Coturnix japonica: one gene and its partner. The protein of the gene in region 2 binds, or shares a complex with, the protein of the main gene of each other region. Links are inferred from orthologs where the notes say so. Each region holds a gene or a part of one and is shown on either strand. Other genes may lie near its edges.

What was found.
Region 1: the proteins of KIFBP (region 2) and KIF15 are in contact, whole or in part, in a cryo-EM structure (PDB 6ZPH), measured with the Homo sapiens proteins. The link is inferred for Coturnix japonica from reciprocal best matches to the Homo sapiens genes KIFBP and KIF15. Residues at the interface, in NP_056449.1 of Homo sapiens: Lys26, Tyr33, Lys36, Ile106, Glu109, Ile147, Ser150, Glu151, Glu153, Thr208, His209, Tyr212, Tyr213, Gln216, Gln219, His220, Phe224, Gln238, Glu248, Trp249, Ile251, Asn252, Thr255, Gln258, Phe259, Asn262, Tyr415, Val416, Thr417, Glu421; in NP_064627.1 of Homo sapiens: Leu187, Glu189, Ile191, Lys192, Lys193, Arg231, Glu232, Arg235, Arg271, Met280, Arg281, Leu282, Lys283, Glu284, Ala285, Gly286, Asn287, Asn289, Arg290, Leu292, Ser293, Gly296, Gln297, Ile299, Ala301, Val303, Asp304, Val305, Gly306, His312.

Annotation. Positions count from the first base shown.
Region 1 is NC_029517.1:39,703,522-39,708,216, reverse strand, and holds the start of KIF15 (kinesin-like protein KIF15), read left to right. Parts: upstream 1-1,577; 5' UTR 1,578-1,592; coding exon 1,593-1,611; intron 1,612-1,802; coding exon 1,803-1,842; intron 1,843-2,887; coding exon 2,888-3,071; intron 3,072-4,344; coding exon 4,345-4,421; intron 4,422-4,695. Other genes in the region: uncharacterized protein KIAA1143 homolog, read right to left, coding at 518-677, 1,190-1,297. UniProt on the Homo sapiens protein: Plus-end directed kinesin-like motor enzyme involved in mitotic spindle assembly.
Region 2 is NC_029521.1:8,805,588-8,810,123, reverse strand, and holds the start of KIFBP (KIF-binding protein), read right to left. Parts: upstream 2,876-4,536; 5' UTR 2,861-2,875; coding exon 2,417-2,860; intron 553-2,416; coding exon 454-552; intron 1-453. UniProt on the Homo sapiens protein: Activator of KIF1B plus-end-directed microtubule motor activity. Required for organization of axonal microtubules, and axonal outgrowth and maintenance during peripheral and central nervous system development.

The DNA of each region.
Region 1 (4,695 bases), on a different chromosome or scaffold from region 2:
TGCCCTACTAGTTATGCAAGTCACAATGCACACTGAGGATGATCTCAAGAAAGTACTGATGTGGAGCAGCCAGTTAACTCATTGAGGAACTAAGCTTACAAACCAGTCATTCTCTTCTCTGAAGCACTAACTTGAGTTTCCTCCTACATACGTATTATCATAAGATTGCCTCTAATACACCCAACCCTACCATTGAACAAGGTTAATTAACTGATTAGTGAGTTCAGAAGTTATCACAGGTGATGTGAAGAATATACAGCAAGCTAATGACACTCCATTTCCCTACTCCCCAATTATTATCAATAATAAATTAACGTGGTGCTTTAGAAGTAGAATGACGCACCATCAAGAAAAACAGAGCTTCAACCATATAGAAACAGACAGCTTGGACATTACTTCAGATTGGGAATCAAAGGTGATATTAAATGATAGAAAACAAGCAAAGATCATCAAGCTCCTTTTTATGATTCTCTCGCTTTGGCTATATGAAGTAAGAAATTAGTGGTTTGAAATTCACCTTGTTCACTCGACTTCAAGGCCTCTTTGATTTGCTGTTTAATTTTCATTGCTTCTTCAGCAGTCAAGTCCCCTTTTTTCAGGGTAACCACTTGAGGCTGCTCATCTTCATTATCGCTGCCATTCTCAGAATCACTATCCGCAAGTGGAAGCTGTTCTCTCTAGAGAAAAGAAACAAAAGCAAAAAAAAAAATGATATAAATCAATTGGAAAAATAGAAGGCAGTGGTTTTGGTTTCAGGTCAGCAGTGATGCAAGCCATTGCACAGCTCACAGTACCAGGTTCTTCCAATGTATTTCAATGTATTCCAATGTGCTTTGCCCAAATGACACAAATCTGTCACATCCTCCAGTGTGTGTTATTGCAGCCCCAGTCCAGCAAGGACAAACATATTTATTTATGTATTTTAAATACGGATTTGCTTGTACTTGGCAACTAAAACGGGCTCGTAGGACTCAGTACAACTGTTCAGAGAATACACCATCATTGCTACAGAGTCTTATGTAACGGAATAAAAAGCACACACAAGCCCTACGGCCCCTACTGTAGCAGCTTATCAGCTGATATGGCCATTTTAACCCTTTAAAGACCATTAAAGACCATTTGAACCCTTTACAAGGGACACGATGCCGAGCAATGAGAAGGAAGCCCCTCTCCTCATGGAGGCCGTTACCTTGGTTTCCACCGTGGGCCCCTCCCGATACCCGACCTGCCGCTTAAAGCGGCTGAGGAACGCGGGCTCGGCCGGCCGCACGTAGGAGACCTGGTTCCTTTTGCTCATGGCCGCCACTTCCGGTGGCGGAGGACGGCAACCGGAAAAGAACAGCCAGCACGCTTCCTACTTCCGCCTCTCTTCCTATACCTTCATCACGTGACGGGGGCAGCAATGCTTCCAGCCAATGAGAGGAGAGAATGCAGAACAGGGGAAGGGATCGTGTAACGAAATGGCCGCTCCCTTGTTGGCTTCATGATAGGGGAGGAGCCACGTTGCTTTCGGCTCTTAGCGCCAAATTCAAACAAGCCGCCATTTTGGAGGGACAGGGGGCGGGCGGGGGGTTGTAGGGCTCCCGTGGATCATGGCTCCCGGCACGAGAGGTGAGGGGGATAAGGGGGTGATCAGGGTGTGCAACTGAGAGGGGCTGGGGGTACCTCAGGGCTGTTGAGCTGAGCGGGCTGTGGTGTGTGGCCGTGGGATGGGATCATCTCGGGTGTCCCCGAGAGCATTTATATGGGCATTTATCAGTAATTCCTTTCATCTACCTCATTTTATTGTTCGTCTTTTGTAGATTTACGTGACTCCGCGGTGCCTGTGATGAACTCATCCAGGTAAAGTATTATTGGCTCCTACGAATAACTCTGTGTGTGGGGGGGGGATAGTGCAAATAGTGTCACTGTAGAAAGTAACGCTGAGTTTTTCACGCGGTGTTTTTCCCACACAGGACTGTCTATATCTCAACTTAGTGATTTAAAATCAAAATCCCTAAATCAAAGTGTGGTTCTGAGGCATCGGATTTCTCTTAGAGCTCTTGGATCTCCCACCAGCTCTACTATATCTCTGAGGGATTTTTAGGCTTCTGTGCAGGAGTTCTAAGCTAAAAGAAAGACAAAAAGCCCTCCAAATATACACAGTTTCTGCCCTGTATGACAAAATACTTGTCAAGTTAGTGAGATGTCTGAAATCCAGTGTCAAGTCTTCATTGGTGGGAAGGTCCACCTCTGCCCTACCGCCAACATCCGTGTCAGATGTCATGTGCCAGAATAACAAAATAGGAGGCATTACTTCAGAGTGTTCAACAAAGAACAAACTGTTGTGTCCACTGATTAATGTGAAATTGGCCGGGGAGATTTTAATTGTAGGAGCTGCTGTCCTTGATCAGATCATTGATTGTGAATTGATTATTCTCTCCCTATGAAAAGCAAAGAAAATGCAAGATTTCTTTCTGTAATATATGTGTAATATATGTAACCATGTGTTCCGTTTGTGTAATCTTTTTCTGAGTTCCTGTAATGAAGAGGATGCTTGAAATCTACAGCCTTAGAAATTGCTCAAGCCCCATTGTAACTGCAGTGGTCTGTGTGGTCTCTCTTCCTCCCCTCTCTTTGTACTTCAAATTCTCTGTGATATGTGTTCCTTTAGAGCTGTATTTACAAGCAGAAACAACAAATCCCACCAGCTTTATGTTCCTTTTTAATCTGCCACATTGTAAGCTTTAATATTGTATCATATAATGAATTCGTGTGTACAGCCAGAAGGTCTGTAATTAGAGGAAATATGTTTGTATGATTTCAGGTGCTTAATCTGATTTTTCTAATGTAATTCTAACAAACAGCTGATATTTCAAAGAAATCTAATGCATAAATATTCATTTAGCGTTGAAGGGGATGCTATCAAGGTTTACGTAAGAGTACGTCCCCCTTCAGAGGGAACTGCATTAACTGATGGAGATCAAGGCTTGTGTTTATCTGTTCTTTCATCAAACACCATCCGTCTCCATTCGAAGCCTGAGCCGAAGATCTTCACTTTTGATTATGTTGCAAATATGGAGACAACACAGGTAATAACGTACAGAATTCTGTAGTGGTAGTGCCGGTTTTCCCCAGATTTTGGCAACTGCTGTGTTAAACCTTTTTAAAGACATAATCCCTTTGGTTGTATATTTGGAGGGTAGGGGGGTCTTAGTTTTTGCTGTGTTCTATTTGGTAATATATGGTTGTAGTTCAGACATGAGGCCCTGAATTCCACTTTTGAGTAGTTTTTATGCATATTTAAGCACCATTAATTTGTTTAATCAAAGCTCGTGTTAGAATTAAAGCTTCTGTTTGTAAATATGACAGTAATAACATGAACAGAAAATAACGCCCTGTGGAGATAATCACACAAAAATAGATGGTAGCCAATAACTGATGTTAAAGATACGATTTGTTTGTTTGGAGTTTATGGCCTTATAATAGCTGTATGTAATTTTTTCTGCTTGGTCTTAATGACCTTGGTAAGGGTAATACCAAAGGGAAAATGCTCCAATTTAATCTTGCATTTTTGAAGTTCTGAATATAATTTTCATTTAACATCACAAGCACCACACTTATATTTCTAAGCCCTTAAGGAATTCTCTCCTTCCTGCAATATAATCTTAATGGGAAAACCTGGAAGTAATCTGTCTGAGTTGTTTCTGCAATATCCTTACAAATGGTGATTAATTCCTTGGTTACATGAAGCATTGGTTGTATAAGGAGTAAGAGTGAGTTCTCTTTAATAGTGCTGACTTAAAGTGTATTCTAATAAAGGAGCAGCGTCATCCTTCAAGTGTCATCTGTCTTTTACATGATGAACTGCTTGTGACAGCATCCTGTCGTCCATCTTCATGCAGAACTCTGCATAGAAGTTGTGAAGTTTTTAATAAATGTCATAAGAACTCATAACATATACAGCATCTCTAAAAGAAAACGAAACACTGTCAGCTATCATTTGCAGCTAGGCTTTTCGTGCATGTCTAGGAAATGGCTATAAGCCACATAATTATAGTAAACATCAGACAAAAACTAATATTATACGTAATAAACATTTTGAAACCGTATTGTGGCGAGTTTGCTCTTTCAGTTATCAAATAGGAATAGAAAGTTTTTTACACAGAGAGTGTTCTACACCACAGACTTGCAATGTTTTATGACTTTTTTGCTGCAAGAGATCTCCAAGGGTCATGATAACCTGTCTGACCTTAAAGAATGCAATTGTTTTATATGTTACATAGAGTTATCACGTAGAAAAGGCTGATAGAAGAGATACTTAAAGTACTGGAGCCAAATTCCTTCTCCTTGCTTTGTCCCCAGGAATCAGTATTTTCAAGTGTGGCCAAAAGTATTGTTGAATCATGTATGAATGGCTACAATGGAACCATCTTTGCATAGTAAGTCAATTAATCGCATTTCATAGCAATTACGCTATTTGAGGAGACTTCATTGATGACTAATAGTGGTTTTAATTTCCTGAGTCTGCTTCATGTTAGACTAGGCTTTGAAAATCCTATCTTAGTTCAAAACAATGTAGGAAATTGCACTATTGAAGTATGTCTTGTTCCGCTTAAAAAATCTGGTGGTAGAAGTTACGGTCTTAGTACTGAAGGTCAACAATGCGGATCGCAAACTCATTTCAGTGTCTAAAAACTAGAACCTTTATAGTGA
Region 2 (4,536 bases):
TTAGCTGTTCAGAAGACTGTCCTCTTGGAAACAAGCTGAACTACTTGCCTCTGTGCAGCATGACATTGCCGTTCAGTCAGAGAAAACCACGCAGATGTTACAGTTTGTTTTCCTTCTCGAACCAAAAGCAATTGCCTGACCTTCTAAAGCATTCCCATAATAAAAGTGGGATGATCTTAATCAGAAGCCAGATTCAGCACTGGAGTATCAATTCAAAGACCTTGTAATAAGGATCACTGTTTTCTGACACAAACTATTTTCTCAGATCCATGTTGGAATTATCAAGTGATCCTCCTACGCCTTCTATGCCAGTAAACAAACCACGCGGCTTTTCAGAAGCGACATCACAAAGCTCACAAACTCAAGTTGTTTTGTACGTTTTCTTCCACAATTATCAAAACTGTAAGTGGTGTATGAATGTAAGAGCTGCTGCCAGATTAATAAGCACCGTACCTCTTTCATGTACTGATTATACAAGGCTTCTGCAGATTCCAAGTAAGTCTGGCCAGTTTTAATTTCATCCCTTTCGGACCATAGGATACCTAGATTGTTCTGAAGTTAAAAGGGAAAAAAAAAGCAATTATTTTCCAATCAATTCCACTTACACTAAACATTTTCTCCATAGAATTTATTGGTCTTCAACCCTACGTATCTGCCTAATATAACTGATTCCAAAAGGCAAAAATTGTTCTCACCTACTTTATCACAAGCTGCTCAAAGAGGAGGGTTCTCACAGAGACAAGCATACAAAGTCACCTCACAAATGGCAATTTTCTGTGTTTACCCTGCTAAATTGTCCCTGGTGTGTTCATATAGAAAGGTTTCTGTACACAGTCTATTCTGCACCTGATTCAAGCAACCTTGAAATCATACAGATATAAGGAGAGTCAAGGACAAATAAATCTGTCACTGAGTCTTTGTGGAAAAACCTAATAGGGAAAAAGTGTGGAAGGAATGAATACCTGCACATTTTGACGAGGAAATTAAAAAGTGCTGTGGTGCAAAAGCCACAAACTTAAAGACAGTAGTGAATATCACAGCAAAGTGCATGGTAACGTCTCACTGCATCTACTCTTTACAAAAAACAACCCTAATGTTATTATTAAGTTGAAGGTGCTAATTGCAAACCCATGTTTAGTGGGCTAATTTAATTCCTAGCACGTGCTGTTACAAAATCTAACAGGACTGGAAACAAAAAACCTTCAGAAAGCTCTTACATGTAGCTGAATGCCAGCCTTGTAGACCTTTCGATTCCTTCTATTTTATTATATTTTAAGAGAAAGCCACACGTATCATGACAGCTATGAACAAAAACACTTTGCCCACAGCTGTGCAACAGAATTGACCAAATTTAATTAGCCAGAAATCATCACATGTATCCTTATGCAGAAAGGCAGAAAGGAGGAGGAGGAGGGCTATAGAAACAGGCCTGGTAGGAAAAGGAATGCTCCTCCTTGCCAAACAGGCATCAGTGAGGTGACAGTGTACTTTACAGCACTGGAGAGTACTCATGTAAAAGTACAGCCACTACTGGCTGCCACAATCTTGACGTTCAGTGTTGTGTTTTGGGTTTTTTGTTTGTTTGGTTTTTATTTAGATTCTCAAGTGTTACTTCCAGCACATCAGTAAAATTGCTGGGAAGAAATTATTTCCTTGGAGTGGCAGTGGGGTGCTGGGAATGCTGCCCAAAGCTGTGGGTGCCCCGTACCACAAATGGGCAGCCATTTGGGTCATTAGGGTTGGAAAAACTCTCAGCTCACCCAGCCCACCCCCTCAGTGCTACACCCCCACAGCTCTGCAACACCTCCAGGCATGGTGACTCCCCGCACCTCCCCAGCAGCCTGTACCACTGTATCACTGCTCTTTTGGAGTTTTTCCCTAATACTCAACACAAATCACCCCTGGTGCCAACTGAGGCAATCACCCCTCATCTTATCGCTGTTACCTGCTCTGAGGGTGACCTCCACCTCACTACAGCCTCTCCTTCTCAGGTAGAGCAGAAGAAGCCACCATCTGATCCACGCTTCACAGAAGCACACAGTCCCTTTGCAGCTTTACACTGTGTGGCTGTGAAGTACTCCAGAGCCCTTCCTAAATCACAGCAGCCATTTCTAAAAGGGACAACTGCTCTACATAAGTGAAAGTGTGTGTGTGTGTGTGTGTGTGTGCATGTAAGGGACGGGTTCCCACATAAACATCCAGAGGATGTGATCATGTTCTTCAGAATTTTCCTCTTACGTGTAAGATTAAAAACAAAAACATTCCCCAACTCCACTTGGGTAGCAAGTAAAAGCCAAGGCTGTGCAATAAGGTCTCAAACCAGCCCCCTACGGCTGTGCAGCCTCTCAGGCCTCACCTCCCCCAGCCCCGGGCCGTTCCTCAGCCCGTAGTCGACACCCCGCCCCCCCCCGCCCACCTGTGCCTGGATGTAGAGTGACACGCAGTCCCGGTTCAGTCGGTGCGGCTCGAGCAGCTGCGTGCAGCGCTGCAGATGTTCCTCTCCCGCCGACAGCTCCTCGGTGTCGGTGTGGTTGACGCCCAGCTCGAACTCCAGCACGGCCCGCCTCACGGCCAGCAGCCGCGGCTCGCTGCAATCCTCGGCGGCGCTCAGCTGCTGCTTCACCTCCTGCAGCAGCGCTCGGGCGCTGTACTTGGAGCGGTAGGGCTCCGTCTCCGGGTCCTTACGGGACTCCACGTCCGACAGCGTCTTGGCGTTGCGAAACTTCTCGCACGCCGCGGCCCACCAGCCGCCCGCCGCCGCCATCTTGTCGCCGCCGCCGCCGCCGTTCACCCGCCCCGCGTCACGCGAGCCCCGCCCCCCTCCCGCCGTCACGGCGACCCGCGAGACTTTGTGCAACATCAGACAGCGGCCGAGCGTCCAACGGCTGTTTAATGTGGTAAAAACACGGACAGTCCGCGCTCACTCGACGGCTGCCCCTGCCGGCCGGCCCTGCTGCCAGCCGCCGAACCTCCCGTTCTTCTTGAAGCCGCCAAAGCGCGGCTGCGGCCTGCGGCTCGAGTCCTGCGGCTGCTCCTCCAGCTCCGGCAGCTCCTTGGCCACCGCCAGCTGCCAGCGCCGCGTGTCCCGCCACTGCTCCTGAGACACAGACACCACACGTCAGCACTGCGAGTGGCACAGCACCAACACAGCACAGCACAGCCATGGAAAAAGAGGAAATAACCCAATGCTTCTGCCCATCTCTCAGTGCAGCATCCCTGTTACGTCACACACCCCATCCTCTAACCCACCCTGAACAAAATCCCAGGTAAGACCATATATCCCACTTCACATAACACAACTGTTCCAACTGTAATGTACCTGTATGTTATTCAGCTCATCCATGGGGATATCGAAGCACACCCCCTGTAACAACAGGTAAATAAATAAATAAATAAAGTGGTATTTTCTTTCCACAAATATATCCCAGGACACAAAACTGAACACACACACACACACAAACCAACACCGCCACCCCTCCTTCCCAAAGGACGGGCTGTCTTACCATCTTCCCCTTGAGGAAACGCATGGCAGATATCTTGCTGTCTATTTCCTCGCCAAGCTGCTCCTTCAGCCCTCTCCAGGCGTAGCTCATGGAACGCATCTCTATAGAGCACTGTAACACCATAGTCACAAAGCCCTTTGGGAGTAACAGAGAAATACACTTGTAAGAGGAAACTGAACTTGCTTGGACAGCCTATAGCTTATAGGAAGTAAGGTGCTTCCTGAAAAAGGTAAACTACAACAGCAAGAGCCAGCCTATCAGACTGTAAGGATTCCTTAATTAGGCTCTTCTGTAGCATCAAAGACTTGAGTTATTTAGATGTCCAGCACAATTACTTGGTGTCTCATTGCAAGAAAACGTGCTGACTGTTACCAAGTCTCTCTAGTTTCCCACAGCATGCCAGTAAGTGCGGAGTTCCATTAAAGAACATTAAACTAGAATGAGCTAACAGTTCTAAGAAATCATACTCAAAGGTCCTGAAGAGAAGGTACTAAAATGCCACACTTGCACAGAATTCAAGCAATCCTTTTATCTGTTCTTGTTAAAGCAGTTATAATGTTATTTACCGCAGCTGAGTTGAGTAAGGAACGCTGCTGTATGGAAGATGCCCCAGAAATATGGGCTAGAGCTGCTGCCAGGGCATCAACTGCCCCTTTCTCCTCTATGATCTCTCGAGCCGCCTGCCTGAAGTAGTCTATCGCAGAAGAAGGAACGGCATATAAACACCTGCATGTGGACAGCATGACAGTTGAGATCAGCACACTGACTGTCAGTGTGAAGTGCAGTCACATTCAACACAAGTTAGAGTTTAACAGTTTAAAGATTAACAGCAACTCCTGCACTTTTTTAAAGATGAGGTGAATCCAACACCATGCTTATCATCTTCACATCTGTGATATCCTCACCCGCTACCAAACCCTCCACCAAGGCAATTTCTACCAATCAGGCAGCAAACATAAGCACAGCTGCATGGAATAAAATGCTCAACCTTAGCCAGTAAAATGACAGAGAAACACAGGATGGGCTACAACAC